7 linked regions of the Canis lupus familiaris genome follow. The protein of the gene in region 2 interacts with the protein of the main gene of each other region in a biochemical or structural test. Links are inferred from orthologs where the notes say so. Each region holds a gene or a part of one and is shown on either strand. Other genes may lie near its edges. The genes, in order: OTUD7B, UBC, TNFAIP3, POLH, SMURF2, USP24 and EPN2.

Region 1 (3,985 bases), on a different chromosome or scaffold from region 2:
ATCAGAGTGATTATTTGATTCAGTCTAGCCAAATGCAACCCCATTTCTCTTATTCCCTCTTTTTCCTACCAGTGATCAAGTTTCCAAATGAATGAGTCCCTATTATGTTGGGAAATGGAAATAAAAGAAGACAGAGTCATGGGGAGAAGTTCAGGCAAATTCTCTTAAAAAAGGTAGAAAGAGGAATGTATATTTGGTGCCAATATAAGTGCTTAAAAAAATGCTACTTTCTATATTTCTCCAATTGTATTTGGTTTGAGAAAGCGGGTTGGGAAATTTGGTAGCCAGTTGGACTTATAGGTTTTCCCTGACTGAAAGAGGTAACCCTTGTTAGGTAATCATCACCACATGAGTGGGATGTTCTTTGGGCTGTGTATGTTCTAAGGTAACTCCGTTTCTCATTGCAGAAAAACGCCTGTCTAGGGGCATCTCCCACGCCAGCTCCAGCATTGTTTCCCTGGCCCGGTCCCATGTCTCCTCCAATGGTGGGGGTGGGGGGAGCAGTGAGCACCCCCTGGAAATGCCCATCTGTGCCTTCCAGCTTCCAGATCTCACTGTGTACAATGAAGACTTCCGCAGCTTCATAGAGAGAGACCTTATTGAACAGTCCATGCTGGTTGCCTTGGAACAGGCAGGTCAGTGAATGCTGCTTTTCCCCAGGTTCTTCCCTCTGCTCTTTACCTGTAGGCAGCCACGTGGAGGGCCTGGCCTTAACCAGTAGCTCCCAATCTAAGTGTGGGATCTGACTGCAAGTGTCAGTCAGATCAACACATATACTGAGTTAGGTGCTTCTTTTCAGGACATAAATTAAATACTTTCTCCTGGAAATTTCTATTTGGTGGAAGGCAAACCAGATATGCACATGAAAGGCCCAGGAATCCATACCTAAAAATCCATACATGGGGAAGAAAATACGAATGAATCAAAATTGGCTCTGGAACATGTTTGTGATCAGAAAATACCAATATTATAGCTGATGTACACCGGTGATTAATTTAAAAGTGCCATTTGTTTATATGAGCCTTTCTCTGAAGATATATTTACCTTTACAATTGTGTTTGTCTTAAATTACTGTTAAAATTGGTTAACATAGTGGGGTGAGGCTGCTGGAAATTATGGAAAAAGCTAGTCAGGTATTAAAATTCCTTGGAAGAAAGATGGGGGCTGGGAGTTGGGGGCATGGGAAACAAGCTTTCATTTTTCATTTGTACCCTTCTATAGTATCTGTGTGGATCTATTTAATACTTTCTTAAAAAGTTAGCAGGTTCTAGCTAGTGAGATTATAGGTTAGTTTTTTTCTATTAACTTTTTAGTAATTCAAGAAGACTTTTTAAGCATGATTCATGAAATATTTTTCTCCTATGAATAACGGATTGGCAATTGTGGGATGACTATACAGAATTGAGACTCATTTTCTTAGGTGTTTCGTATGCTTTGTCTTGTTGCTTATATCTTTAAAGTCATATCACATACAAGTTGCCACGCAGTCATATATGCGATGATACTTACGTGACTCTGTGAATACATGCTTTGGGTTATTTTTCTTTTAGTGATGATGTTTTTGTGCTGAGTTTCATTGTTATATTATTTACTGGTCTCCTGACCAGAGGGAAGACATCAGAGCCAGCCAAGAAGCCAACACAGATTTCCACCTATGACCTTGGCCTCATCATCTAATCCAGAGTGGCTCAATCTCAGCATTGTTGATATTTAGGACCAGATAATTTGGTTGTGCAAGCGGCCTGATATGATATATTATGTTTAGCAATCTCTCTAGTCTCTACCCACTAGATGCATCCCTCCTCCAGTTGTGACAACAAAACAGCATTTCCAGATACTGCCAAATGTCCTCTTGGATATTGGTTAGATCAGTGGTCCCCATGTAAGAACTGCTGATCTAACCAATCATGCTCTCTAGATTCTGATTCATTAGGCATTAGTGAGGAAGATATAAGGAGTAACAGAGATGGTTTTATTCTGGGTAGGCTTCCTGGAGGAGGCAAGTTTGGAGTCTTTTTTAGAGTTAGAGAAGTGGGAAGGACTTTATGGATAATCTACTCCTCTCCTTTTCTTGTTTCTGTAGGGCGTTTGAACTGGTGGGTGAGTGTGGACCCTACCTGCCAGAGGCTGCTTCCTTTGGCAACTACTGGGGATGGAAACTGCCTCCTGCATGCAGCCTCTCTAGGTAAGTTTTGAAAATGGTGTTCCGTACCCTCAGAAAGGAAGCAATGGAATTAAATCTCATGTGCAGGACTTAATCCGCTAACCTTGATCTTAGGCAGAAATGATGGCATAGTGTGTATGTGTGTGTCTGTGTTTGTGTGTGTGTCTGCGTGCGCGCATGGGTATGGGCATGCGATGCAAGAGATGGAAGAGAGCCCTGCCCTGGTTTTTCAGTCTTGTTCAGAGAGCATATGGAGAACACATGCTTTAGTGTGGGTCCCACTCTGAGAGCTACCCCCAGAAGTAGTGAGCAGCAAGTATGTAAGCAGGGTAGAGCTATGTGTGTCTATCATTATACTTCATATTTATTCTTTTGCTGTATAAAAAAGATATGCTTTCATTGGTTTTTGTGAGATTTGTTTAATTATAAAACTTATTTATAATTCAATATGTTTTTTGCCTTAGATTTTAAAAAAGTCCTCATTTTCCAACCATCCCTCCAGCTTTGATGGTGATTGCCATGTGCCAGACCCATCTTCTATACTGCCACCATGTATTTTAGTTTGTTAGACTTGTGTCATGAGTAAGGAACTTTCTGTCAGGAGTTTGTAGGATGTGGTATATCTCCCACTTGTAAGTTCTCAAAGTATCTGAACCTCCAGAGTAGGAACACATTTTCTGTCATGGTTAAGTACCTCTCCCCTGAGTCACAGGAGTTTCTTTGAATCTGGCCTTCAGCCTGATTTCCTTCATGCTAGGACATATGCATCATAATTAGTAAAGGTAAGTCAAGGTAAGGTGTCCTATTGGTATGTTTTCTTGCTGCAGGCATGTGGGGTTTCCATGATCGGGACTTGATGCTACGGAAAGCTTTGTATGCGCTGATGGAGAAAGGAGCCGAGAAGGAAGCATTAAAACGGCGCTGGAGGTGGCAACAAACACAGCAGAATAAAGAGGTGAGGGAGTTTGGGAACACCTTGTTCTTAGAGTTGGCTATGGTGAATGCTCAGTGTGTGCCAGTAGGCCATGTCTCCTGGTGCCTGATCAGTGGTACTCCCTTTGGAATCCTGGAAATTGTAGACAATACAAAAGACACCACGGGCCTGTGCCTTTCTGAGATAATCATGAGAACTAGCATGGGGAAGCTGAGAATCATGGAGGAGGTAACTAACATGCTTCTCACCTGATGGACACTCATTAAGTCTTCAGTAGTAATCTTTTGCAAAATAAGATAGGACAAGTCCACAGGATTTTTGTATTGTTTGGAGCTTTTTTGCTTATAATAATAAAGCTAAACCAATTTTTAAGGACTTATGTTTTCAACCCTTATAGGAATGTAAATGCTTAAAAATTTTGTTGGCTATATGTAATACTTGTTTTTCATACACTCGGTTTGTTTAAAAATTTTAAAAACATGCCTATTAAATTGAGTTTGAATGATACTTCTCAGGGCCTTAGCAGGTGTTAAGACTGCTTTTGTATAAGAACGTAACAATGGCTGTTTGTACTTTCCATCCCCATAACTGGGGTTGAAAGCTAACTATGACCTGTGAGACAAATCTCAGTAACAGTTAAAAAAAAAAAAAAGTTTCATTGGAACACAGCCCTGCACATTCATTTATATATGTTTGCTTTATGTTAAGTGCTTTCCTTGTGTAAAACAGAACAGCAGCAGGATAGAGTAGTTACATATGGCCCACAAAGCCTCAAAGATTTACTGTCAGGCAGTTATGACGGGGCAGTAAAAGAGTTGGCTGAACCCTAACTGTAATGATGACACTGTACACTTACACAAAGATAACAAGTCTCCCTCTTCCCTTTT
Region 2 (4,134 bases):
AATTTAAATAATACAATATTCATAATTTAAAACAGGAATGAGTCTTTTTTTAACCGCAGAACATTGTTTAGGCAACTTTTCCTATTTGTTTTTTTCTTGAAAGCTTTGAGGGTGAAATGAAAAGATCTTTCCCCCCTCCACACTGAAACAGAGAATAGCTCCAGAAGAGACAGTGGCTGGGGGATTGAGCATGTGAAGGACTTTTCTCTGTAAACTTCCAGAAACTTTTTAAGTTTTCACCATATTCAGGTATTTTATTTTTCAGTCTTTCTCCTTTTATTCAAATGGAATTTTGCCATAGAATTCAATGTAATTAAATTATTTATTAAAGATCTTTATTAAAAAAAAAAAAAGATCTTTATTCATGAGACATCAGAAACAGAGACACAGGCAGAGGGAGAAGCAGGCTCCCTGCGGGGACCTCAACACAGGACTGGATCCCAGGACCCCGGGGTCACGCCCCGAGCCAAAGGCACTCAACCACTGAGTCACCCAGGTGCCCCAAATTTTGTATTTGGGATATTAAATTGTGTCCCCCCCCCCCCCGCCCACGAATGTACAGGCCTGGGATTGGACTTGTGTTTCTGAGACCCCAGGCCTAAGGAAGTTGTACGTCTGAGCTCCACTGAGTGTCCACCAGATGCCTCCGTGTGTGTATCTAGTACAAGGCGGCGTAGGTGGTACAGGAAGGCCAAAGGACATTCTAGAAAGTTCGGTGGACTTCCAGACGCCTCTCGAATAGGTGCGGGCAAAGCGTGCGGGGTTTCTGCGCCCCCTTCTAGCCTTCGGCCGTCCCGCACCCCCTGCTCCCCCGCTGCCCCAGCCCAGCCCGGGCCCACCTCCCGCCCCGCGCCGCGATCTGTCGAGTCATCCGTCCTGTCCGCGCCCGCGCGGGGGGATGGGCGGGCCGCAGGCCCCGGCGCGAGGACCCCTGCGGTCGCGGAGGGGCGAGGGACCACGACGCCCAACCCCTCTCCGCCCAGGGCGGGTCTCGAGAGCCGCGGGGACCGCTGCGGCCGAGGGGAAGGGGTGTCTGGGTCCCGCGGCAGGGGCAGCTCGCCCCGGACGCCCGGCGATTCCGCGCCGGGTTTTCCCGTCTCCCGCGGGCCCTGTTCTCCGCGCTCGCCCCCTCCCCCCTCCCCCCTCGCATCCGGCGCCGGCCACGTCCGCGGACGCAGCACTCAACGGGCGCGCTGATCCCTCCGCGCGGGCGCTCGGGACCGCGGCCCTCTCCTCGCCAGATTCAGCCCTACAGCCCAGCCTTGACAGGTCGACGTTTCCGGGGGCTCCTAGAAGATTCTGGGGCAGTGGTTTTCTCCCTGGAGGCCAGGAAGACGGTGAAAAGTAGTCCCTTCTCGGCGTTTCTGCGCAGGGATCCGCCGGAGCGGCGCGGCCGATTGTTATATAAGGAGGCGCCGGGCGTGGCGCAGGCAGTTCCGTGGAGGCCGGGAGGTCGGTTGTTCGTCTCCGTGCGCTTCTGTCACAGCCGCTTGGTGAGGAGCGGGCCGCTGCGCGGGCCTGGGGGTCTTGGGGCCCTGCAGGGGCGGGGGGCCGGGCAGCCGGCTGCCCGGGGAGTTGCCCGCGGCGCCGGAGCGCGGTTACTCTTGGGGGGGGGGGCGCAGCAAAATGGCGTCCGCTACGGCTCCTGTGCGGGGAGAAGCCGAGGTGCGAGGGGCCGTGAGGAGCCCGGGAGACGGGATGGCTGTGAGCGGGCGAGACGCGCCGAGCCAGTGGGGCCCTGACGGGGCCCTCTGCGCAGTGAGTGGGGGCGGGAAGCCCCTGTGTGCTCCGCGGCCCCGCTGGCGCCACGCTCCGTGTCCGGTCGCGGCGAGTGGGCCCGAAGTGCCGGAGCAGTCCTGCGCCCGTTTGGGGGGAGGGGGCCCGCTCGTCGCGTCGGTCATGTGATGTCATCGCTTTGTCAGCTAACAATCCGGGGTGGGGCCGCGTGTTCCTGTGTGTGGAGCCGGCTTGGGTCAGTCGCGGGGCACAAGGGTTAGGCGGGGCGGGGGAGGGGAGATCCTGCGGATTGTCCGGTCCAGACATCACTGAGGGGGGAGGGGAAGATACGGAAGCCGGCGCCTTCACTTGACCGGTATCCATGCTTTCTCTCCTCCTGGGGCCTGGAACTTGGTTTTGGAGCTTATTTGAGTTTCCAAAACCTGTCCTGTTTCTTCGCCTTAGGTTTTTTGGCGAGGTTTATTTTAGTTCTTGGGTTAGTGTAAAATGACCAGTAACTGTTAGCGTTCTATTCACATGTGAGTGGTCTGTTACACTCCGGATTGTTTTTTTTGTTTTTTTGGGTTTTTTTGTGACAGACAATGCAGATCTTCGTGAAGACTTTGACGGGTAAGACCATCACCCTGGAGGTGGAGCCCAGTGACACCATCGAGAACGTCAAGGCGAAGATCCAGGACAAGGAGGGCATCCCCCCTGACCAGCAGAGGTTGATCTTTGCTGGCAAACAGCTGGAAGATGGGCGCACCCTGTCCGACTACAACATCCAGAAGGAGTCCACTCTGCACCTGGTCCTTCGCCTCAGGGGGGGCATGCAGATCTTCGTGAAGACCTTGACGGGTAAGACCATCACCCTGGAGGTGGAGCCCAGTGACACCATCGAGAACGTCAAGGCGAAGATCCAGGACAAGGAGGGCATCCCCCCTGACCAGCAGAGGTTGATCTTTGCCGGCAAACAGCTGGAAGATGGGCGCACCCTGTCCGACTACAACATCCAGAAGGAGTCCACTCTGCACCTGGTCCTTCGCCTCAGGGGGGGCATGCAGATCTTCGTGAAGACCTTGACGGGTAAGACCATCACCCTGGAGGTGGAGCCCAGTGACACCATCGAGAACGTCAAGGCGAAGATCCAGGACAAGGAGGGCATCCCCCCTGACCAGCAGAGGTTGATCTTTGCCGGCAAACAGCTGGAAGATGGGCGCACCCTGTCCGACTACAACATCCAGAAGGAGTCCACTCTGCACCTGGTCCTTCGCCTCAGGGGGGGCATGCAGATCTTCGTGAAGACTTTGACGGGTAAGACCATCACCCTGGAGGTGGAGCCCAGTGACACCATCGAGAACGTCAAGGCGAAGATCCAGGACAAGGAGGGCATCCCCCCTGACCAGCAGAGGTTGATCTTTGCCGGCAAACAGCTGGAAGATGGGCGCACCCTGTCCGACTACAACATCCAGAAGGAGTCCACTCTGCACCTGGTCCTTCGCCTCAGGGGGGGCATGCAGATCTTCGTGAAGACCTTGACGGGTAAGACCATCACCCTGGAGGTGGAGCCCAGTGACACCATCGAGAACGTCAAGGCGAAGATCCAGGACAAGGAGGGCATCCCCCCTGACCAGCAGAGGTTGATCTTTGCTGGCAAACAGCTGGAAGATGGGCGCACCCTGTCCGACTACAACATCCAGAAGGAGTCCACTCTGCACCTGGTCCTTCGCCTCAGGGGGGGCATGCAGATCTTCGTGAAGACCTTGACGGGTAAGACCATCACCCTGGAGGTGGAGCCCAGTGACACCATCGAGAACGTCAAGGCGAAGATCCAGGACAAGGAGGGCATCCCCCCTGACCAGCAGAGGTTGATCTTTGCCGGCAAACAGCTGGAAGATGGGCGCACCCTGTCCGACTACAACATCCAGAAGGAGTCCACTCTGCACCTGGTCCTTCGCCTCAGGGGGGGCATGCAGATCTTCGTGAAGACTTTGACGGGTAAGACCATCACCCTGGAGGTGGAGCCCAGTGACACCATCGAGAACGTCAAGGCGAAGATCCAGGACAAGGAGGGCATCCCCCCTGACCAGCAGAGGTTGATCTTTGCCGGCAAACAGCTGGAAGATGGGCGCACCCTGTCCGACTACAACATCCAGAAGGAGTCCACTCTGCACCTGGTCCTTCGCCTCAGGGGGGGCATGCAGATCTTCGTGAAGACCTTGACGGGTAAGACCATCACCCTGGAGGTGGAGCCCAGTGACACCATCGAGAACGTCAAGGCGAAGATCCAGGACAAGGAGGGCATCCCCCCTGACCAGCAGAGGTTGATCTTTGCTGGCAAACAGCTGGAAGATGGGCGCACCCTGTCCGACTACAACATCCAGAAGGAGTCCACTCTGCACCTGGTCCTTCGCCTCA
Region 3 (3,448 bases), on a different chromosome or scaffold from region 2:
AGCAAACGAAAATTCTTGGAGATGAAAGCCTTTTTTTTTTGGCTTCTTGGTAAAGACAGACACATCAGACACAGACTGGGCTGTAGATCATGTTTCTGTGGCAGCCATACGATTTTGGCCACATGAAAGTGACAGAGACCCAGAGTGCTTGTTGTACAGGTATCCATATATTAAACACTGGCTTCCTGTTAGATGCCTGTTTGTTAGGACTTGAAATACACAAGAGGGGACGATGGAGGGATAGGAGAATCCGTTTCTCAAAGCGGAGGCGGGCCCATTACAGAAGATCAGAAGTCCATGGACAGCACCTGTGAGCGTGGCGGCTACTTAGTCACTGTGCGGGGTGGTTAATGCTGATACAGACCAGGCACAAGTTTAAGATCAATAAGATCAATAACAGCAAAATAGAGGCAACGAGCTCTCAAAGTAGACTATGAAGTAGCCTCATCCCAAATGAATACCCTATGTAATATTTTCATAGAAGTTTGAGAGAAGTTAAAAGGTAAAAGTGACTTTTGAGAAGAGGAATAGAGTAATCAAGTGTGGAGGCATCCCCAGAATAGCCCTTTCTTTAGAATTATCTGTAATTTGGGTTGGACCAAGATTGATTAAGTAAGATTTTGATTCTCGAAATAACGAAATCTTCTTAGATGGACTGTGCTACATTGGAAGCGCAGACTCTTAATCATGAGCCTGCATTTCAGTGAATGCTTGTGAAGTTAATGCCATAATCCACATTCTAAAAGTTTGCCCTATGAACTAATGATATGAAATCGTGTGTGTGTAGTGTGTATCTGTGTTTGTGTGTAGCCTCATATTTTTCCTTTTGGTCTTTAGGCTGGATGAAGCCAACTTACCCAAAGAAATAAATCTGGTAGATGATTACTTTGAGCTCGTCCAGCACGAGTACAAGAAGTGGCAGGAGAACAATGAGCAGGAGCGGAGAGAGATGCATGCTCAGAATCCTTTGGAACCTTCCGTTCCCCAGCTTTCTCTCATGGACGTAAAATGTGAAACACCCAACTGTCCTTTCTTCATGTCAGTGAACACCCAGCCTTTGTGCCACGAATGCTCAGAGAGGCGGCAAAAGAACCAAAGCAAATCCTCCAGGCTGCACTCCAAGCCAGGCCCTGAGGTGCTCCCGGGCATAGTGCTTGGGCCCTCCCGGGGAGAGGCCTATGAGCCCATGGGCTGGAGCCCCGAAGAGCCAGCTGGGGGACCTCATTCGGCCCCTCCGACAGCCCCCAGCCTTTTCCTATTCAGCGAGACCACCGCGATGAAGTGCAGGAGTCCCGGCTGCCCCTTCACACTGAACGTGCAGCACAACGGATTTTGCGAGCGCTGCCACAACGCCCGGCAGCTTACTGCAGGCCACAGCCCGGACAGCATGAGGCACTTAGACCCTGGGAAGTGCCGAGCCTGCTTACAGGATGTCACCCGGACATTTAACGGCATCTGCAGTACGTGCTTCAAAAGGACTACAGCGGAGCCCTCCTCGGGCCTCAGCTCCAGCGTCCCTCCTTCCTGTCACCAGCGGTCCAAGTCAGACCCCTCGCAGCTCATCCAGAGTCTCTCCCCACATGCTTGCCGCAGAGCCGGGACCGAGGCTCCCTCCGGCTGCCTCTCTCAGGCCACACGGACTCCAGGGGACAGGACGGGGACCAGCAAATGCAGAAAAGCCGGCTGCATGTATTTTGGGACTCCAGAAAACAAAGGCTTCTGCACGCTGTGTTTCATCGAGTACAGAGAAAACAAACGTGAGTGACATGATTAGTTTCCTAACCCCGTTTCAAACCCCTGGTCTAGAAGCTGCAAGAAAGCAGCCCCTCTGGGTGGTGGGCACAGTGGGACAGTTGCCTGGAGACGTAAGCCACAGAAATCCACCTTCCAAAACCCTATAGCACCTCGTAGATAGAGTTCAGAGGATTTGTGTCATGAGGTCATGCAGCATCTGGCATTTATAAGGTAGAGTTTAAACAGGACTTCTTTGGAAACGTAGGTGTGATAGAGAACATTCAAGATCCAAAGAGCAGTAGCTGGACTGAAGGAAGCCTCTGCCAACATTGTAAGAAAACCTGGGTAGTTTTAGCAATCTCTAGCTTGAAAGAGGGATGGGAAGTTGACGTCTTTGCATGTTCTGTTACTGTACCTGGCCAGTGCAGCACATTCAAAAGTGAGACATCTGTAAAGTTATAGATGTTTTGATGATGACATTATTACCATTTTTTATTTGGCTGAATTTATAAAAGGCTGTGTTCATGGATGCATGGCATAGGCTGCCCTAAGCTGCATCCAGAACCTGTCTTTTTCTTTAACAGCAAGGTCTCTCCCTGCTTGGAGACCACATGTGACACTGATGGGCCCCAAACTCTCTTTTAGATTTTGTCACTGCCTCAACAAAAGCCAGTCCCACGGCCCCCAGGTTCCAGAACGCTGTTCCGTGTTTGGGGAGGGAATGTGGCACCGTTGGCAGCACCGTGTTTGAAGGATACTGTCAGAAGTGTTTCATTGAAGCTCAGAGTCAGAGATTTCATGAAGCGAAAAGGACCGAAGAGCAACTGGTGAGACATTTTGAGGTACTTTCCCTGCCCCGCCAGGATGCCCTCCTGGCTGGAGCCCCTGCTTCTGACCAGACCATCAGACTCTCCTCCCAGCCAAGTTCCAGGGAAGAATTGCAGGGGTGGAGAGAAGTCATGTGGCCCCCAGGGTTGGAAGTGCAGTAGCTACTCTTGATTTTCATGGCTTAAGTGTACTTTAGAACTCATTTAAAAATTAAATGGAGGGACGCCTGGGTGGCTCAGTGGTTGAGCGGCTGCCTTCAGCTCAGGGCATGATCCCAGGGTCCTGGGATCATGTCCTGTATCAGGTTCCCCGCAGGCAGCCTGCTTCTCCCTCTGCCTCTGTCTCTCATGAATAAATAAATAAAATCTTAAAAAAAAAAAAAAGATGACTTAAAAACTAAGTCGAGTTATCCATAGAATAAAACCTCTTAAAGTCCACAGAAAGCCAGACATTGAACAGAGACTGCTTGAGCTTTAGTAGCAGCAAAGGCATCTGAGTGGCCAGCAGGCTTTCTGAAGTAATCCTTTGTCACGAGACAGGAGGAGGAGACAGAGCAACCCCAGTGCCTCCACACAGTGGCACATAAGAAAAGCAAACTTTGGCTCATGGGCGCCTGTCCCTTTGTTCACAAGAAGGGCAGCATATTACTAATCCAAGCAGAGGCCGCTGGGCCAGGCTTCGCAGGCCACTGGGCCAGGCCTGGTACTCGGCCTCCCGGGGGCCAGGCCTGCTTTCATGGTCCTGGGCGGGGAGGCGTCCTTGGAGAGCTCCCATTCTCAGACTGTGTGTGCCGCTCCGGTTTCCCTGGGTCAGGCAGATGCTCTCCATCCCATCGAGTTCTCTGTAGCTCCCTTCCTGGCTAATGGGATTGCCTGGTGTTCTCCCT
Region 4 (4,428 bases), on a different chromosome or scaffold from region 2:
TTAATTTAGGTGTGGGGTATATACAAGATCATTGTAGTATTATTCTCTTTACTTTTGTGTATGTCTTTAATATTTCATAACAAAAAAACAAATAGAACACAACTGTTTCTCATTCCAAATCTTGTGGCAAACACTGTATGGTGTTAAAAGTAAAGTTCCTTCCAAATGATGTTCACTGTACATTTAAATGATGTGACATCATTTAAAATTACTAAAAACTTTAAAAAATAACGTGCACAAGTGTTTTTCCTAATGGTCATTTCTCACAATCCACACACGTAGTTTGATGTGGGAATGAGTGCGCAATTTATTACCATCCCAATTTGTATTAGCATTCCCAAACTGCAATAGAAGAGTCAGTCCCAAGAGCTGAGCATGCGGACTCAAGAAAACTACTTTCAGGAAACCAAAGTGCCCTTGTTAAAATGCAAAGTAAGTGGTAGAAGTTCATCTTTGCGCAAAATAGCCTGAGAATAGAACAAGTAAAAGAACGTGGGGGGGAGGGTGTGTGAGAATGAGCCCAGAAATAACCCAAGACACAGAAGAGAATTAGTGAGAGGGGTAAGAATGTAAATAAAGTGGCACTAGCGGGGCTGGAGCTCGGCTAGGATGGGTCAGGAGGATGCAAGGAAACGTTTAATGCAGGGGAGACCGTAAAGAATGTAGCTGGTGTTGGGGACGTACGTGACGGGCACGTGCGCCACGGGAAGGCTAGGGGACGTGGGGCTTGGGGTAGTAAAATAGAAGCATCGGGCTGTGGTGTGGGTAGGACTAAAGAGAAGTGGGGAGAGGAGAAGAGAGGGCAGTAGCAAGTGGTAGTGAGAGGAGGAGCAGCAGGGAACCAGAGGGTCCCGAGAAAAGGGCAGGCGCGACTGGCAGAGAAAGCCCGAGTGAGAAGAAGCGCGGAGGGCGAGGAGGGGAAAGGCTAAGGGCCCCCGGGGGTTGCAGTGGGAGGTTCAAGGGCCGCGTGGGCGGGAGACCAGCAGGGCTTCAGGCGGCGGGGCGGGGGGGGGGGGGGGGCGCGGGGGCTAGGGGAGGATCTTGGGGCAGGCCCAGGACGCCGGACCCCTTCTACCTTGAGGGCTTCCAGCCGGTAGCGCTGGGTGGAGCTGGGGTCCATCATGACCGTCACCGCTTTCACCAGCTGCTCGCACAGCGCGTTCACTTGATCCATCGCCATGGCTAGTGCCACGCGCCGCGAGCGCGCACCACGGCCGTCCCAGGAGCACGAGGCACCGACCGCTCCCTTCGGAGGACCACAAGCTGGTACCGGGCCGCGGCGGGCTGGGGGGTGGGGAGCGGGAGGAGGAGCGTGAGCTGCAGAAGCTCCAGCCTGGAAGGAGCGGGGGCTGCGCACGCGCCCGACTCGCCACTGCGCACGCGCCCGCGGAAGTGGCGGCTCCCGTGTGACGGTTGCTCCTGGGTGGGCGGAGCGGAGAGCGGAAGGGCTGCAGTGCGCAGGCGCGCCAACGGCTCTTTTGCGGCGCGCGCGCTGTCTAATCTCAGTTCCGAGGGCTGGCTGTTGAGCGCGCAAGCCCTGGCTAGTCCGGCGGGGCGGTGCGGGCGGCTTCCCCAGCCAGGGTCGTCTGGGACCCGTGGTCCGTTTCTCCGTCATCACGGGGAATAAGTTTCTGGAAGCCGACTGGTCCTCTCCCGGAGACGGGGCAGATAGTCAAGACGCCTTCGTCTTCCTTGAGTGGACAGCGAGCCCGGCATCTCCGGCGTCCGTGCCTGGCAGTTTTTCCAGGTGACTGCCCCATTGGTAAGAGAATTTCGAACCGCTCGGCAGACTTTTCATGTTGTCTTGGCTGTTGGTTTCGTGCTGTAGCAGTGGCTGATGATGACGTTGGGCCAAAATTCGATGAAACAAACGCATGCTTACGGAGACGTAAAGGCCCGGTATGGTTCCCTGAGAGGAATTTTCTTGTGGGAAAGTGGTATTTTAGCTAGCTCTTAAACTTCCCTCTTCGCTTGTGCTTATTTTCGTTAGATGTGTTCTCGCCTGACGGGCACCAAACTTATTTGGTACAGATGGTGATAAGTCGAGATATTTGAAGATGAATAATTGCAATTATTGAAGGCTTGTGCAGTTTGCATCATTTGAAGTGCTACGTATAAGACTTCAGAGCAGTGTAATCCTTATTCGGAAAAGGGGGGGGGGTTTGGCAGCGAGTGTGTTTCATTTTTTTCCATCTTTAAAAAGCTCTTGCTTTCTCCAGCAAAATACATAAACTGAAGACTTCATCAGATTCATTTTCTGTTGAAGTTTGCATATTGGGTTTGTTTACTCAATAAAATGTTTGCTGGACTTAAATCACTGCTTCCTATTCATACTCCATTTCTGCCATTTGCATCTCGTGTGGTACTTCCCTGGTAAGTTTAGTGTATGTGTGTGAAAATGTGTTTACTATTTTTATTCTGGCATCACCATCTGTTCCAGTGCAACACAAAAGCCACTTCATGGTGAGGTGATTTCTGACATGTTATGGTTGTAACTTACAAATGTTTAAAGTTACACATTCTGCCAGTTTTCAGTGAGTGGAATTTATAAGGAATTAATACCTTGATTATTCAGATTTTTAAATTTGTTGTATTCTTTCCACTAATCTTATGTGATTTTTTTTTAAGAGTACAGTTGAGTGCTTACTCAACTGTATAACCTATGTGTCTCATATTTAAATCACCAATTACTGGTGTTTCCATAAGTATCTTATATACTTGAGGTCTATTGTTTCCAGTCTCTGCTACATATTAGAATTGCCTGGAGACCTTTTAAAAATCACAGTGCCCAGGTTGCACCCTGTTTTGTGCTAGCTCAATCTATTATCTTTAATTAATTTAAATAACATCTGAGTAATATTGATATTTGGCTTCTACCACCAGAGATCGTAATTTAATTGGTATTTGTGTGTTTTGTGCTATCTCAGCCTAGCGATGGTAATGCCATGGTTAGAAATGCTTGGGGGCACACTCACTTGGGCTCCAGTGAGCTTCCCACAGACACCTCCTCTGTCCAAACCATAACAGTGACCTTCAGGAAACTTTGAAAGAAAAAAAAAAGTTTATTCTTTACAAGCCCTGGAGATCACAAGACACAGCAGTGAGTACACAGCAAGGTTACAGGTAGTGAGGGACCAAGCTAGCACAGGCTGGGGGTTTTACTGGGGTTGAGGGTGGCCATCAAGAGTTTCATGGGTGAGCTTATTTATTTATTTTAGATTTTAATTATTTGACAGAGAAAGAGAGCACAAGCAGGGGTAGTAGCAGAGGGAAAAGGAGAAGCAGGCTCTCTGCTGAGTAGGGAGCCTGATGTGGGACTGTCCCAGGATCCTGGGATCATGACCTGAGCAAAGGCAAACACTTGACTGAGCCATCCAGGTGCCTCTTCGTGGGTAAATTTAAAAAATAAGAGCAGGAGGGGCACCTGGGTGTTCAGTCGGTTAAATATCTGCCTTCAGTTCAGGTCATGATATTGGGATTCTGGGATCTAGCCCTGAGTCTGACTCCCTGCACAGCGGGGAGTCCGCTTCTCCCTCTCTTGTCCGCTTCCCTCCTGACTGCCTTCTCCCGCTCATGCTCTCTCTCAAATAAAATTAAAAATAAAATTTTAAATTAAAAAACAGCAGGAATTTAAAGTATAGGAAGAGAGAAAAAGGAAAACAAAAAGCCCAAGCACCCAAAAATGGCCAGTTATTGAAATCAACCAAGAACTCTAAAACAAAGCAGTCTCAGGTTGGGGAGGCAGCCTGGCACTTTATATAGTCTTTATATAAAGTGTATATACACTATATAAAGTCTTTATATAGTGTGTGTGTGTGTATATATATATATATATACACACACAAATGGCTGTGTTTATTCAAGATAGTCATCTTTGAAGTGGATGCCTCAGCAATCCAAGCTTAAATCAGGCATCTGCATTATGAAATAGGGATGGGGGGAACAACTGTGAGAGTTTACACAACAATCTACCCTGTGATGCCAGAGTCAGTGATGAAGACATCAACTGCCTGGATAGCTAGTATGTTAAAAGGGTTGAATAATTATACAGGCTATAGTTTGAAATCCAGTCTGTACTTATCGTCCCAAATTTGAAAGGGTCCAGCCATGAAAATAGGTCAGTGATCTTGACTTTTTGGCTAGCCCTGGAAATCTCTTCAAGGATTTGGGTAATATTGTGAAATGTTTTAACATCTTCAGCCATCTGGTATAAGTAGGTTTGAGCCTGTTCTGAGTTGCTAGGTTGTTTCATATCCAATGGAACCAGTCCCTTAGTCCTGAGAATAAGTCAGTTTAATTAAAGGGTTGTGTCTTATTTCAGAAGGTGGTGGTGCAGGTGGTTCCCCAAGTTAGGCCTGTTGGAGGGAAAAAAAAAAAAAAACAGTAAATTTAAAGATCTTACTGGCTTTATTCAATGGTTGTGAATTG
Region 5 (3,985 bases), on a different chromosome or scaffold from region 2:
TTTTTAAAAAGATTTTATTTATTTGAGAGAACTAGAGAAAGCACAAGCAGGGGGAGGGGCAGAGGAAGAAACAGACTCCCTGCTGAGCAGAGAGCTTAATGAGGGGCTCTGTCACATGACTTTGGTGATCATGACCTGAGCCTAAGGCAGACACCTAACCGACTGAGCCGCCTCGGTGCCCCAAAGTACTATTTTAAAGAGGGGGGTGGAGAACAAGTATATTTCTGTTTTTAAAGGTACCACATAATAATGATTTCCTCCACATGATAGAAGTTCTGTTCCAATCCTGCATGTGTGAGAATAGCAAATTCCTGCTGCAGTAGTGATTGTTGAAACCATACTTTAAAAAAGATACCTAGAAGAATCAGTTCTGTTTTGTCAGAGGCCATTTACTTAAGAATATACATTGGCCATACTTAGTTTTCAAATACACAGGTAGCTTTCCCATGGGACACTCAGGTATTTGGTTGCATGGGGGTACCCAGATTCAAATAGGGCTTCTTACCTAAAAGCCAAACATAACTGAAGTTTTCCCTATGTAAAGCCCAGCTTTGGCAGGGGACTTTGTCATTACTCAGGAAGTGAAATGTTTCCTGTGTTTATGAAGGTTAAAGCTTTTTGACCTTTCTGCCCCAAAACTAGGATATATGGTAGCATAAGGACTGGCAAAAGGAATCTGATCTTATATTTGTGATGTCATGAAACTATCTTAATTTTATTTGTCTCACCAATTAAGACATCTGTAGGATCCATATTTTAGATTTTCCAGTTTAATATCTTTCTCTCTTTTCCTTTCTAGTGAGAATGATATTACAGGTGTTTTGGACCATACTTTCTGTGTCGAACATAACGCATATGGTGAAATTATTCAGCATGAACTTAAACCAAATGGCAAGAGTATCCCTGTTACTGAAGAAAATAAAAAAGAATATGTCAGGTAAACACTTCTGTGTTTTCAAGCCTGAGAATTATTTTAATGCTCTCGAATGACAATACAGAAAAACACTGATATATTTAGGTAGTGTTGCTTATTGCTACAAAATAGGCTTCTGCAGAATTTAGTGGCTTTAAAAACAACCACTGTTTTATTTGATCTCTCAATTCTACAGGTAATTTGGGTAGAGAACAGTAGGGATAGCATAGGGCTCCTCCATGTGGTGTTCGCTGGGACTGACCCCAGGATGGCCTTTTCATTCAAATACCTGAGCCCTCAGCTAGGATGGCTACGGTGGCTGGAAGCTGGCTGGAATGGTCACTGGGTCACCATCTGGGATCTTGTTCTCACTGTTGGTTTAGGCTCCCTGGTTATCTCCATGTCAAGTCTGAGGCCTCTCAGAATTCTCCTCGTGGTGTCTGTCTCCCCAGCAAGATAGCCAGACTTCTTAGGAGCAGCTGGTTTCTCAGAGCACAAAAGCAGAAGTTGTCAAATCTTTTTAAGGCCTAAGCCTGGAACTGGCTGGATCAACTCTGCTATGTTCTTCTGTTAAAGGGAGTCACAAACCAGCCCAGGCTCAGCGTGTGTGGGGGGAACTGTTTAAAGGCATGAATACCAAGAAACAGGGTGCATGGGGCTAGTTGTAGTAGAACTGCCACAGCTAGCTGTACAGAACACTACATGCTGTGTTTCCAGCAGTCATTTTGTTTATAAATAGTGAGTTTAAGGGATAAATATAAGAAATGTTCTTCAAATTTTATATAATCACCTGATGATTGAGGAGTTTTGAAATACTGGGTTAGATCATTTGGCCTATGTGAACTAAAGTTCTTTGAAACATAAAACTATGGTAATCTAATGTAGGTGTTTGAACTTTGCCACATGTACACAGAAATGTGCACACTGTTCTTTTTGTGTAGATTATGTCTCTAAGTCTTACTGGCTTAAGTTTTCCTGGTTGACACATTGAGGCCCATCAGTCTCACAGACTGTTCATGGGAGTGAACCCTGGAATAGCTTTTTTGGAAAGCAATTTGATAACAGCTCCCAAAATGAATATGCACATGCCTTTCAACCAGCAGCCCTGTTTTTTAGGAATCTATTCTGTGGAAACACATGGTAGTTAAATATAAATAAGGATGTTCACTTAAATACTGCTTGTAAAAACAACTGGAAACTAATGAAGTGTATTAGAGGAGAACAATTTACATACATACATACACTCAACAGAATATTATATGGATGGATGTTTAAAAGAAAGAGACTATATAAGTTGTTAGATTTAAAAAGCAAGTTTTAGGGGCACCTGGCTGGCTCAGTTGGAAGAACATGTGATTCTTGATCTCAGGGTCATGAGTTTGAGCTACAGATTGGGTATAGAAATTACTTAAAATAAGTAGATACGCTTTTTTTTTTTTTAAGGCAAGTTTTAGACATTATGGGAAACAAAGTCTGTGTTATTTTATAATTATTCGGAAGATGTCCAGGAAGACTACATACCAATAAGGTGTTTGGCTAGGATGAGGGAGTGTGAGTGCAGGACCTGGATGCAGACAGGGAGGGGAGGGTAATAGAATGGGCTTTCAGTTTTTATTCTGTCTCTACATTTACTGTTTGATTTTTCTTTACATAGAAAACGTGCATGTTATTACATTTCTAATTGGCGAATAAAAGAATGGATGGGAATTTCCTGAATGTCATTCAGTAGTGTGTCACTTTGGGATCTAGCATGGACTGCTGAGTTCTTAGACCCCACTTGCTGGGACTCAAGCATGTTTTTGCACAAAGTCATATCTCCTACCAGATACAGTTTTGACAGAAAAAAATTAGAAAAACTTTTGTAGATGCACAATTTTGCTGTCCTCTTAAATAAAAATGAGGTCCACCAAAGGATCTAATCTTAAGTAGCTTCTTAAAATAGAGAATTGTTTCCCTAGGTTTGGAAGTAGAAATGTTGACATATTTGGAAGGTGAATAGTTCTGAGATTTTTGAGATGGAGGAGTTTTCCCAGGTAGATAGATTTTTTTAAAAGGCAATTTGGTTATAAGTCCAAGTCAAAAATATAAGTAAAGCTACATGTTAGATGTAGTCTGGTATACTTTTTGTTGGTAGAATTAGATCTTCTAGTTTTTTTTTTTTTTTTTTTTTTAGATCTTCCAGTTTTTTTTAAGGCCTCCAGGGAACAATGAGTATTTAATCAAAAAGTGTTTACTATTGGCTTTTACTGTTCTCATTTTGGATTTAAAGAGTGTCTTTACTTCCTCTTTCCCTACATACCACCCGCAAAATATAAACAAAATACCCCACACATTCAGATAATACTTTGAAGTGCAACCATAAAAATAGTCTGTTTTGGTTGAATGGCCTCTTTCTTTCTGATTGGTGGCATGTATGCTAAAAGTTCAGAAAGACGTTTCGTACAGATTTTAACTTCAGACCCAACTAATTTCTAGCTGCCTTCCAGTGTACTAGGAGTTTCTCTGATTTGCAGAGTTGCTTTATTTATGCTGCTTTTGTTAGTGGAAGGTTTCCACTTTTTCATTTATAATGAACTATCTCTCAGGTCCAGGTCCAGTACCCTCAGGAATCTGAGATTCCTTTAGACTGTAGATTAATTTTTTTTTAAAGATTTTACTTATTTGTTTGAGAGGGAGAGAGCAGGGTTGGGGGTTGCAGAGTGGCTGGTGTGGGTGGTGGGGAGGAGAGGAAGAGGGAGAGAATCACAAGCAGACTCTGAGCTGAGTGCAGGGCCTGATGTGGAGCCTGATCTCATGACCTATGAGATTAGGACCTGGGCAGAAACCAAGAGCTGCACCCCAAACTGACTGAGCCCCCCAGGCAGCCTAGACTCTAGACTAAACTCTTAATGCTAGGTGCTCACAAGGTGTACTGTTGCTCAAGTAGAGATTCGTAATAGTCACCAAATCTGAATCTATTTGATTGTGTGAAATCCCTGCCCAATGTTTACAGGCTCTATGTGAACTGGAGATTTTTACGAGGCATTGAGGCGCAATTCCTGGCTCTGCAGAAAGGATTTAATGAAGTAATTC
Region 6 (3,985 bases), on a different chromosome or scaffold from region 2:
TGGTGGCAGCTGCTTAAGACAAGGGGCTGTGTACTTCTCCAAATGCTGAGATGACAGTCTTTCACAGTGGAGGCCAAAGTTAAACATGTAAAAATAAACAGCAGAAAAGAAAGTGAGGTCATCATTTTAAGACATTTCAGGGGGAAAACATAAGTTACCCTTATCTGTTCATCATATTTAATGGAGCGTCCACTCTCCCAGTCAAATCCAAATCTCATTAGGTGAATTACCAAGACGCTAGGTAAAGACTTAATGCAGGTCCTTTTCACGGTTATTCTCTAAAGAAAAGCAAAACCCAATTATTTTCATGGAGGAAATAAAACAGCAAAATCATACAAAGATCAGAGATTTCATAGGCCTCTCCTGCCCATGCAAAAACAGGTAATGATGCAACTTAGCAACAATAGGAGCTTAATATTGCCCTTACATAAAACACAAATGAATAACAAATCAATTGTTTTCTAAAAAAGGGAAATGTGGTACCTTTTCTTTACACTTTTCACAGTAATATGCATTACTTCCTTCTAGAACTTCTCCTCTAACAAACTGATCCAAAGAAATTTCCAAGCTCTGACAAGAAGTAACTCCAAGATTGAGAGCCATGAAAGCTTCCTCACGCTCGTATCTGATTAGGAAAATCACAGGAAAAACAAACAGTAGAATTTAAAGATCTTGAAACTACCACAATACGAGAGTCTACACAGAACTACATTCTGAAATTCTGAAATTAACCAATGCTGTCCCTCATCCTTTTAAAATTACACTGCCAAATAAAAATGCCAATTTTTGTTAACTAGAAATGACTTAAAGTTATGAATTTCAGCAAAGAAATTTTAGATATAGAAACCAGAGAAACTTAATTCAATAAACATTTATAGGTCCACTGAAGAGAGAGATCTGCAAGTCTTACAACAATGCACGATTCATGACATGCTAGAAGTATTTAAAAAGGATGATCATGTACAGTCTACTGTAGCCAAATGGCAACTTCCATGTTTTCACCTTAGTACTGAATCCTTTTCCTACTGCAAAAATATTTCTTCCAAGTTTGATATCTGTATTAGGATAACTCTGAGAATACGTAATTTTGTTTGAAGATTTATGACTTCCAATGGAAATCCATGTGTTTACATATGAAACTTAAAGTACTCTTAAAGCTCTATAGGAAAGCTTCTTCTTCTTCTTTTTTTTTTTTTTTTATATAGGAAAGCTTCTGCTTGCATCATGATTTACATTATACTAAGTAGGGTAAAAAAAAATATTAAGCATGGTGATGCTCATGAATCTGAATATTCTAGAACTTGGCTGAAACCAAATATATCAATAAACTGTTATAGTAGCTTTTGGAATAAAAATACTATTAAAAAGATAATAGCTCAGATTTTTATCTACTGTCACTTTAGTCAAGTAAAATATGGATGAAAATTAATGAACAAAGTACTACCAATTAAGAGGAAAAAAAAAAAAAACTGAAGAGGGTCAGTTTTGATGTCAATGATATCTTCACTTACCTGTGAGGACAGTCTTTACAGATCTTCTGATCAGAATAGATGCCCTGGAAAGTATTCTTAAAAATTTGGTCTCTCCCCATTTTCTGTTGGAATAAAATGTTAGAATTTTAGTTGATGCCCTGAGAATTTGCAGGTCACTTATATAGAATTTTATTTAGACCTAAGCTAAAGTGCAAATTTGAACTTAACAGCTAAAATACACTGAGTCATGGTGATAGTTTAAGCTGGGATTGAATGGGAGGATTAGAACCCACTGGCTCCACTGGCAAAGGAAGAGGAGAAGAGGCCAATGGCAGCTGGTGACAAAAACAGCACTCAGTGATGATTCCGAATCCTTCTTCCCATGCGACAATGACCAGGTTAGAAGCAACTCTCCACAATCTTTTCTCCTTTCTTGTGGATAAAATGCTATGATCGTGAGTTTTCTGAACAAGGAAATAACTTGGCCTCCTAAGGAGAGGAGGGGCAGATAAGGATAGTGATGGGAGGTGCCCTGTAATTAGGAGGCAGCATCACTTAGGATCTGTCACATGTCATGCAAGGTAGGGGCAGGAAACTTTAGGTTGGTAAGCTAGCCTCTCTGGCAGTCAGACTGCCATGCACATGCACAGGCTGTCAGGTTCCCTGCCAGGGCAGCAGTCCTGAGGCCAGGCTACCTCAGTGCACCCACAATAAGAGCATGAGATGCAGATGGTGAGTATGAAGCACAGGTTAGGAACTACAGACTCCCATCAAATGTTGGGTGAATTAAGAAGTCCATAATTGTAGTGATCTGTGTCTGTTTTGATGTTCAAACCCCACCAGAAGAAATGAATTATGGCTGTGGTATTAAAGATGACCAGATTCTGATTTGTCGGTTTCACAGTAATCCCAAATCCTGCCACACTCCACTCGTATTACAGTTTGAGGGAGTCCAGAGAGAAAGTGACATTTTCTTCTACCTTGAGATATTCGTCCATCTGATCAATAAGACTAGTGAAGAATTCATATGCATCTTGCTGTTCTCGCACATAAAGCTCTTTGTTCCACATCTTGAAAATCTATGCAATAAGAAATATATTGTTAAATGAAAAGTAGCAATTTCTGAATATAGAAGAACACAAATGTGAAAGAGCACTTAAATGCTTCTAAAAACCAGGGTCATTATTAGGGCAGTAGACATTTTTATTGAAATGAGACAAGCTTGAGTTCAGCTACCTATGCTTGTCCCTGGCCCCTGTGTAACCATCACAAGTCTGGGAGACCATACCAGGTGGGATCTGAGGCCACAGAACATAGAGTTTCTGTCTTAGAACTATCCGAACTACGAGGGAAAATACAAGGTACTCCCGTGAAACAGAGTAATGTTCTTTATTTAGAGCATTAGTGAAATTGGAATACTTTGAATAAATATTCTGAAGAGCTAAAATGAGAATCATGAGAAGTACTCAAAATCGTTAAGATCAGCAAATCCCTAGAAATTATAAATGACTATTCTTAATATTGTAATCATTTGAAATTGAACATCAATCTTAAGAAGAATGGGGTAGAGTCCATTCTTCTGTAGGTTCCTGGAAATGGGATTAGTCTAGAGTTAATAAAGACAGAAACAATTACCACTAGATCCAAATATCTGACGTCTTGAAATCTAAAGAGATATTGGGTGAAATACCTTCCAGAAGTTCTCAGGTACATAATACTGCAGCTTGCTTTCCATCAGATGCCCAAAGAGCGACTGCACCTGGTAGAACACGCTATCGTCTGGATTGTCCGTGTCATCATCCACTGAAAGTAACGACTAAACAGAAACAAGGTGTATTAAGCTAGAAAGAGTTCACTGCTTCACAGGCGACGTGGACATACGTATGTGTACTGGCCACATTGCTTTTCTGATGCTGTATATGTTTGGATGTGGCTACACTCTGAGTATGTTTAGCTTCAGTATTTCCTTTTGGTGGACTCATGAAGTCATTTCTTTGAGCTTCTATTTGATTATGAAAAACTGGAACTAGTAATCTCTCTGAGAGACAAACATGGCATGATACATATAGAGTATTTTGAAAACTACTGACTGCAATATAATGAACTTGTAGTATATGCTCACCCTTAAACATGGGTTTGAACCATACAGGTCCATTTATCCATGGATTTTTTGGGGGGTACAGTACAGTACTATAAATGTATTTTCTCTTTTCTAGCTTACTTTATTGTAAGAATAGAGTACATCATACATATAACACATAAAATATGAGTTAACTCTGACTATCCAGTCAATAGTAGGCTATTAGTAGTTAAGTTTTAGGGCAGTCCAAAGTTACATGCCCATTTTTTACTGCACTGGGGGGTGAGCACTCCTAACTCCTGTGTTGTTCAAGAGTTAACTATTATAGAGCACTGATGACAGACCCTAAATTTTTCTAAAATACTAAAAACATTAGTAATTTTATGGAAATAGAATTTGAGAGTAAGTAACTTAGATCAAAAATCTCAACTGG
Region 7 (4,642 bases), on a different chromosome or scaffold from region 2:
GAGACTGAGGTGGGTGCTGGAGAAGTAAACAAAGACTAGCCTCAAAGATGTCACTGTGCCACAAAAGCCCCAGATACAGAGACAAGGTGATTAAGCACTCTAAAAGATTGCTTGGGGGGTGGCAAGGCTTGGAGAGAAGAGTTAGAGAGGGACTCTGCTGAAATTGGCTGCCAAAGGCTTGACAGAATAGGTCTGTTTAAACGGAACACACGAACAGAAAGTCTGGCAGACAAATGGGGGGGCTGGGGAGATCTACAAAATTCCTTCTCTCCCCAACCTCAAGTTCCCCCAATGCAAGCCCTTTTATTTCTGCAAGGCTCGGGGTCACCAGGTACTCCTGCCATCAAGTGACAACCACCACAGTCATCCATGGCCCATCAATCCAACAGGAAGGTTCTGGGGAATAGGAAGAACAAATGCCCGAAAGCTTTACTGCACTTCCCAAGAGTATGAAAAGAGAGCTCCATGCATGAAAATTTCTTGGCACTTTAGCCCACCAAAGACTGAAGTTTACCCTCAACCTAATGAAATCTTTATTTAAAAAAAAAAAAGCCCACTCTTTTAAGTTCAGGAAGAGGCAAGCCACTGAAACAAATCAAAGTCCTAAAAACTCTTCATCTACTTTTTGCAGGACTCTTATCAGAATCCCAACACTTAGGAAAGCCACGCCTTACCATGGAAGCCCAGTTACCTAAGAGGCATCAACTGTGTTTTTCCAAGGGCTTTTTTATGGGTTGGGTTATTTTCTTTCCTTTTTAAGATTTTATTTATTTATTTGACAGAGACAGCACAAGCAGGCAGAGGGAGAGGGAGAAGCAGGCTTCCTGAGGAGCAACGAAAAACAGGACCCTGGGAGCCCAGGACCCTGAGATCATGACCTGAGCCAAAGGCAGACGCTTAACCTGACCGGGCCACTGAGGCACCCCCGGGATGGGTCATTTTCAAGGCTGCATATACCATGCTAAGTATCATCACTTGAAAGTTTTACATTTCCAAACATGTGCCACCGTGTTTGACAAAACGCACCTTGCTGGGAGACAGTTCTCCACCAAACTCCTCATCTGTCAAACTGGAGGTTCAAGGAGGCAAAAAGCCTCCTTGAGAGATCAATATATCCCACAGGACAATCCAAACTTGCTCCTGCTCCAGGGTCTTGTGGGATACAATTCTGAATCACGTCTGACAATAATTTGCACTTTACCCAACTCTTTACTAGCCAGTATTTCATTCAATGCTTACAAAAGAAAAGTCCAGTGGTAACATGACCAACCCAATGTTAAAACTAAAGAAACTACTAAGCTTTAAAAATACAAAAGTAAAAATACAGACAGATAAAAGTTCAGATCTTGGTAGCTTCCCCAACACCATCACTTATCCCAAATACAATCAACTGGAACAAGAACAAGTCAGAAAAAAAAAAGAGTCCCTTCTGATGTTCATTTAAATACAGATGAAAACTTAATTATCAGTGCAAACTCAATCACTGTTGTGCAGGATTCAGTATATGATTTTGCCAGCACCTATCATCTGCTATCTAGAGCTACAAGATGTACATGTTTTCTGCCAAATCTTCATTATCTTACGTAATTGGGAGAGTGGTAATTAAAATTCACCTTTTTCAATCGTTTTAACCTCCTGTTCCAACCTCTCCTTTCACAGGGCTTTTTTGGGAGGAGGCAGAAAAGAAGAACTCATACTTCACATCTTTTCCTGCCCATTATCTTGTGTGAATGTTAAAAATAAGAGGGGGGGAAGGGGTGTTATCCTGAACATCGCTTTTAAAATTCTAAAATGTGCGAAGAGAGCACCCGGGAGACCAAGCTTCTAGTTCTGGCAGTGACACAGTAGCACTGCATGACCTTGGGCAAATCATTGCATCTCTGGACCCCAATGATGGTCAAGCCCGGTCCTCTCGTAAAGCACAGATTTCAGACGCGTCCCCAGGACAAAACAGTGAAGGGACCCCAGGCTGTCGTGCCCCTGGGAGGAGGAATGGGCTTTTCACAGGCCCCTGCAGGGGTTTCTGGGGAGGGCAAGGTGCCCCCACTCCCCACCCCAACCCCTCCCCGCGAAGCCACTGGGCCAACTTCAGGTCGCAAACAAAAACCTGTTGGCACGGACTCCTCTAGGAAGGGCCAGCCTCTGCCAACGCGCTCCGCTCTGGGGGAGCCGCCCCACGGGCAGAGAGAGGAAGGGTCTCCTTGAAGAGGCCGGCCCCCACGCACCCATTCACCCACCCGGATCAGCCGAACGGGACCGCCGGGCGGGGTCTCTGGCATCCCACGCGGAACAAAAGGCAGCTGGAGCCAGGCTCTGCCGCCCCCGTCCCCGCTGTGCCGTGGGGGTCGGGGGTGGGGAGGGAGAACCTGGTCCCCGGGGAGGGAAAGGGGCCCCCAGCTCCAGCCCGAAGGAGAGCGGCGACCGGACGCAATCCTGGACAGCGAGGACCCCTCCCCCGATTCCTGGAGGAAACAGGGGCTGGGCTGTGCACGGGGGCGGCCGGGAGGGAGATCGGGCTCGGCTCGGGAGGAAGGGGGCGCCCGGCCCGACCCGGGGAGGAAAGTGCTCTGGGGAGGAGGGGCGGGGTGGTTCCCGCAGAAAGGTGGAGGATGAGGGCCTGGAGAGGCTCCTGGAGCTGAGCCCCTGACTCCGAGGACGTAAGAGGGAGAGTTCCCCGACAGGGAGATTGGGGGGGGGGGCTCCCTTGAGGCTGAAAGCGGGATCCAGATGGGGAGGGGGCCATGCTCCAACCCGTGGGGCGGAGCCTGGCTGGAAAGGAAAGGGTCCCACCTGAGCTGGGGACCCAGCCCGGGCAGGCTCTGGGGGGTTGGCCGGAGGGCAGCCGCGCAGGGAGGGCGTCCGCGCCCCGGGGAGGGGAGGGTCCGCGCCCGGGGGCCCCGCTCCCGCCCGCCCACCCCCCCGCCCCCGAGGCTCGCGGGCCCCGGCTCACCTCCGCTCCTCCGAGCCTGCCCGGGTACGCGGCTGCGGCCGCGGGTGGCACTGGGGAGGCGGGAGCGACCGAAGCCCGCGGAGCCGCCGCAGCCGCCGCTGCCGCCGCCGCCGCCGCCGCGTCTAGCTCCGTTTGACACCCACACACCAGCCAACATGGCGGCCGGGAGGGGGCGCGCCGGCTGCGTGCGCGCGCCCGCCGGCCCCGCCCCCAGCCCGCCGAGGCCCCGCCCCTCCCCAGGCCCCGCCCCCGCGACCTCCCCCCACAGACCCACGACCCCACTCAGAGCGCCCCGCTTCCCCGCGGTGCCTCGCGACCTGCGCCCGAGTCCTTCGAGCGTCCCCCCAAGCCCCGCACACGCCTCTTGACGACCACCCTCCAACCGCCCACAAACCCTACCAAATACACACCCGAACCCACGCACTCGGCAACTTTCACTCAGACACCCCGTTCCCCGACAAATCCCCCCCCCCCCGTACCCCATACTCCATCTCGCCAGCCTCAGGCGCGCACGCAGAGCCCTCCATCAGCGCTGAAACCCCGTTCTTACCCTCGCCTTGCAATATGCACTTGGAAACATTATTCCAATAGGGGCTCTCCTCCAGAGCTGGGGCCTGGCAGGGGCCAGGGGCTCCTGGGGTGCTGGTCACTTTCGGTGTCTTGAGCTGAGTGCCAGGGTCACGAGTAGTGTTCACTTGTTGAAAATTCACTGATGTACACTATAGATGTGTGCACTTTTGTGTAGATGTGTTCGTACTTCAAAAAAACTCAAAAATGGTTCTGAGAAGGGATGCATCAGCTTTGCTAGACTGCCAAAGGGATCCATATAGGAAAAATGTAAAGCCCTTGGCTCACCGTTATCCTCATAAGAGGAATTTATGGACTCACCCCTTCGCAGGGCCTGACACTCACAAGAGCAACAGGATCCACCCCTTGCATTGGGTTCAACAGGTGCCCATGAGGCTCCTGCAATGTGCCAAGCTCTGTGTGAGGCTCAGAGGGAGACAGAAGACAAAGCTGAAGAGACAGACTTTGGAGAGGTTCCTACCCCAGAAAGGGTGGGATCAGCAGAAACCCCTCACAGCAGAGTCTGGAGTATGGGTCCCAGCTTGCTGGGTTGGCAGTCAGCACCATCCCTGTTGCCTGGATCCAAGGAAGCCCCGGTGACATGGGCATTATGCTTAGCTCTGGTTTCAGGGAAGCTGTGTCCATGAGTCCCATTCTGCCCTCACTTATAAGAGACCTTGGGCAAGTCACAGCACTTCTCTGAGCTTTGTATTTCTCCTCCCTAGGAAGAAGCCCAATGGATGAAGAAAACTCATCTTTGCTGGGCCTTCCTGGGCTTTCTGGGAGAGCAGAGCTTTACATGAAATCATGGCCCATGCCCTCAGTTTGTAACTCTAGATGGATTATGCCAACATGCTGTGGGTGCCCAGTGCAGGCTGGAGTGCTTCCCATAGATTCAATGCTGCCCAATATAACTTCCAATGATGGAAGTGTTCTCTAGCTGTGCCATCCACATGTGAGCGCTTGAGATGTGGCTTAGTGTGACCCAAGGAGCTGAATTTTTAAGACCATATTTAGCTTTTTTTTTTTTTTTTTTGGTAAGATTTTATTTATTCATGAAAGACACAGAGAGAAAGGCAGAGACATAGGCAGAGGGAGAAGCAGGATCCCTGTGGGGACCCTGAC

Evidence for each region.
Region 1: the proteins of UBC (region 2) and OTUD7B form a complex in vitro, tested with the Homo sapiens proteins (12 studies listed by BioGRID, with this or other methods). The link is inferred for Canis lupus familiaris from reciprocal best matches to the Homo sapiens genes UBC and OTUD7B.
Region 3: the proteins of UBC (region 2) and TNFAIP3 form a complex in vitro, tested with the Homo sapiens proteins (13 studies listed by BioGRID, with this or other methods). The link is inferred for Canis lupus familiaris from reciprocal best matches to the Homo sapiens genes UBC and TNFAIP3.
Region 4: the proteins of UBC (region 2) and POLH form a complex in vitro, tested with the Homo sapiens proteins (5 studies listed by BioGRID and IntAct, with this or other methods). The link is inferred for Canis lupus familiaris from reciprocal best matches to the Homo sapiens genes UBC and POLH.
Region 5: the proteins of UBC (region 2) and SMURF2 form a complex in vitro, tested with the Homo sapiens proteins (6 studies listed by BioGRID, with this or other methods). The link is inferred for Canis lupus familiaris from reciprocal best matches to the Homo sapiens genes UBC and SMURF2.
Region 6: the proteins of UBC (region 2) and USP24 form a complex in vitro, tested with the Homo sapiens proteins (4 studies listed by BioGRID). The link is inferred for Canis lupus familiaris from reciprocal best matches to the Homo sapiens genes UBC and USP24.
Region 7: the proteins of UBC (region 2) and EPN2 form a complex in vitro, tested with the Homo sapiens proteins (4 studies listed by BioGRID). The link is inferred for Canis lupus familiaris from reciprocal best matches to the Homo sapiens genes UBC and EPN2.

Annotation. Positions count from the first base shown.
Region 1 is NC_049238.1:59,896,067-59,900,051, reverse strand, and holds part of OTUD7B (OTU domain-containing protein 7B), read left to right. Parts: intron 1-407; coding exon 408-635; intron 636-2,083; coding exon 2,084-2,185; intron 2,186-2,991; coding exon 2,992-3,119; intron 3,120-3,985. UniProt on the Homo sapiens protein: Negative regulator of the non-canonical NF-kappa-B pathway that acts by mediating deubiquitination of TRAF3, an inhibitor of the NF-kappa-B pathway, thereby acting as a negative regulator of B-cell responses.
Region 2 is NC_049247.1:5,228,712-5,232,845, forward strand, and holds the start of UBC (polyubiquitin-C), read left to right. Parts: upstream 1-1,334; 5' UTR 1,335-1,493; intron 1,494-2,315; 5' UTR 2,316-2,318; coding exon 2,319-4,134.
Region 3 is NC_049222.1:30,494,233-30,497,680, forward strand, and holds part of TNFAIP3 (tumor necrosis factor alpha-induced protein 3), read left to right. Parts: intron 1-837; coding exon 838-1,757; intron 1,758-2,379; coding exon 2,380-2,576; intron 2,577-3,448. UniProt on the Homo sapiens protein: Ubiquitin-editing enzyme that contains both ubiquitin ligase and deubiquitinase activities.
Region 4 is NC_049233.1:12,222,669-12,227,096, forward strand, and holds the start of POLH (DNA polymerase eta), read left to right. Parts: upstream 1-1,468; 5' UTR 1,469-1,762; intron 1,763-4,214; exon of another isoform or gene 4,215-4,349; coding exon of another isoform or gene 4,350-4,355; intron 4,356-4,428. Other genes in the region: XPO5 (exportin-5), read right to left, coding at 1,076-1,180. UniProt on the Homo sapiens protein: DNA polymerase specifically involved in the DNA repair by translesion synthesis (TLS). Due to low processivity on both damaged and normal DNA, cooperates with the heterotetrameric (REV3L, REV7, POLD2 and POLD3) POLZ complex for complete bypass of DNA lesions.
Region 5 is NC_049230.1:14,565,195-14,569,179, forward strand, and holds part of SMURF2 (E3 ubiquitin-protein ligase SMURF2), read left to right. Parts: intron 1-799; coding exon 800-937; intron 938-3,905; coding exon 3,906-3,985. UniProt on the Homo sapiens protein: E3 ubiquitin-protein ligase which accepts ubiquitin from an E2 ubiquitin-conjugating enzyme in the form of a thioester and then directly transfers the ubiquitin to targeted substrates.
Region 6 is NC_049226.1:54,618,210-54,622,194, reverse strand, and holds part of USP24 (ubiquitin carboxyl-terminal hydrolase 24), read right to left. Parts: intron 3,289-3,985; coding exon 3,163-3,288; intron 2,552-3,162; coding exon 2,453-2,551; intron 1,595-2,452; coding exon 1,512-1,594; intron 626-1,511; coding exon 484-625; intron 279-483; coding exon 159-278; intron 1-158. UniProt on the Homo sapiens protein: Ubiquitin-specific protease that regulates cell survival in various contexts through modulating the protein stability of some of its substrates including DDB2, MCL1 or TP53.
Region 7 is NC_049226.1:41,167,890-41,172,531, forward strand, and holds the start of EPN2 (epsin-2), read right to left. Parts: upstream 3,086-4,642; 5' UTR 2,951-3,085; intron 1-2,950. UniProt on the Homo sapiens protein: Plays a role in the formation of clathrin-coated invaginations and endocytosis.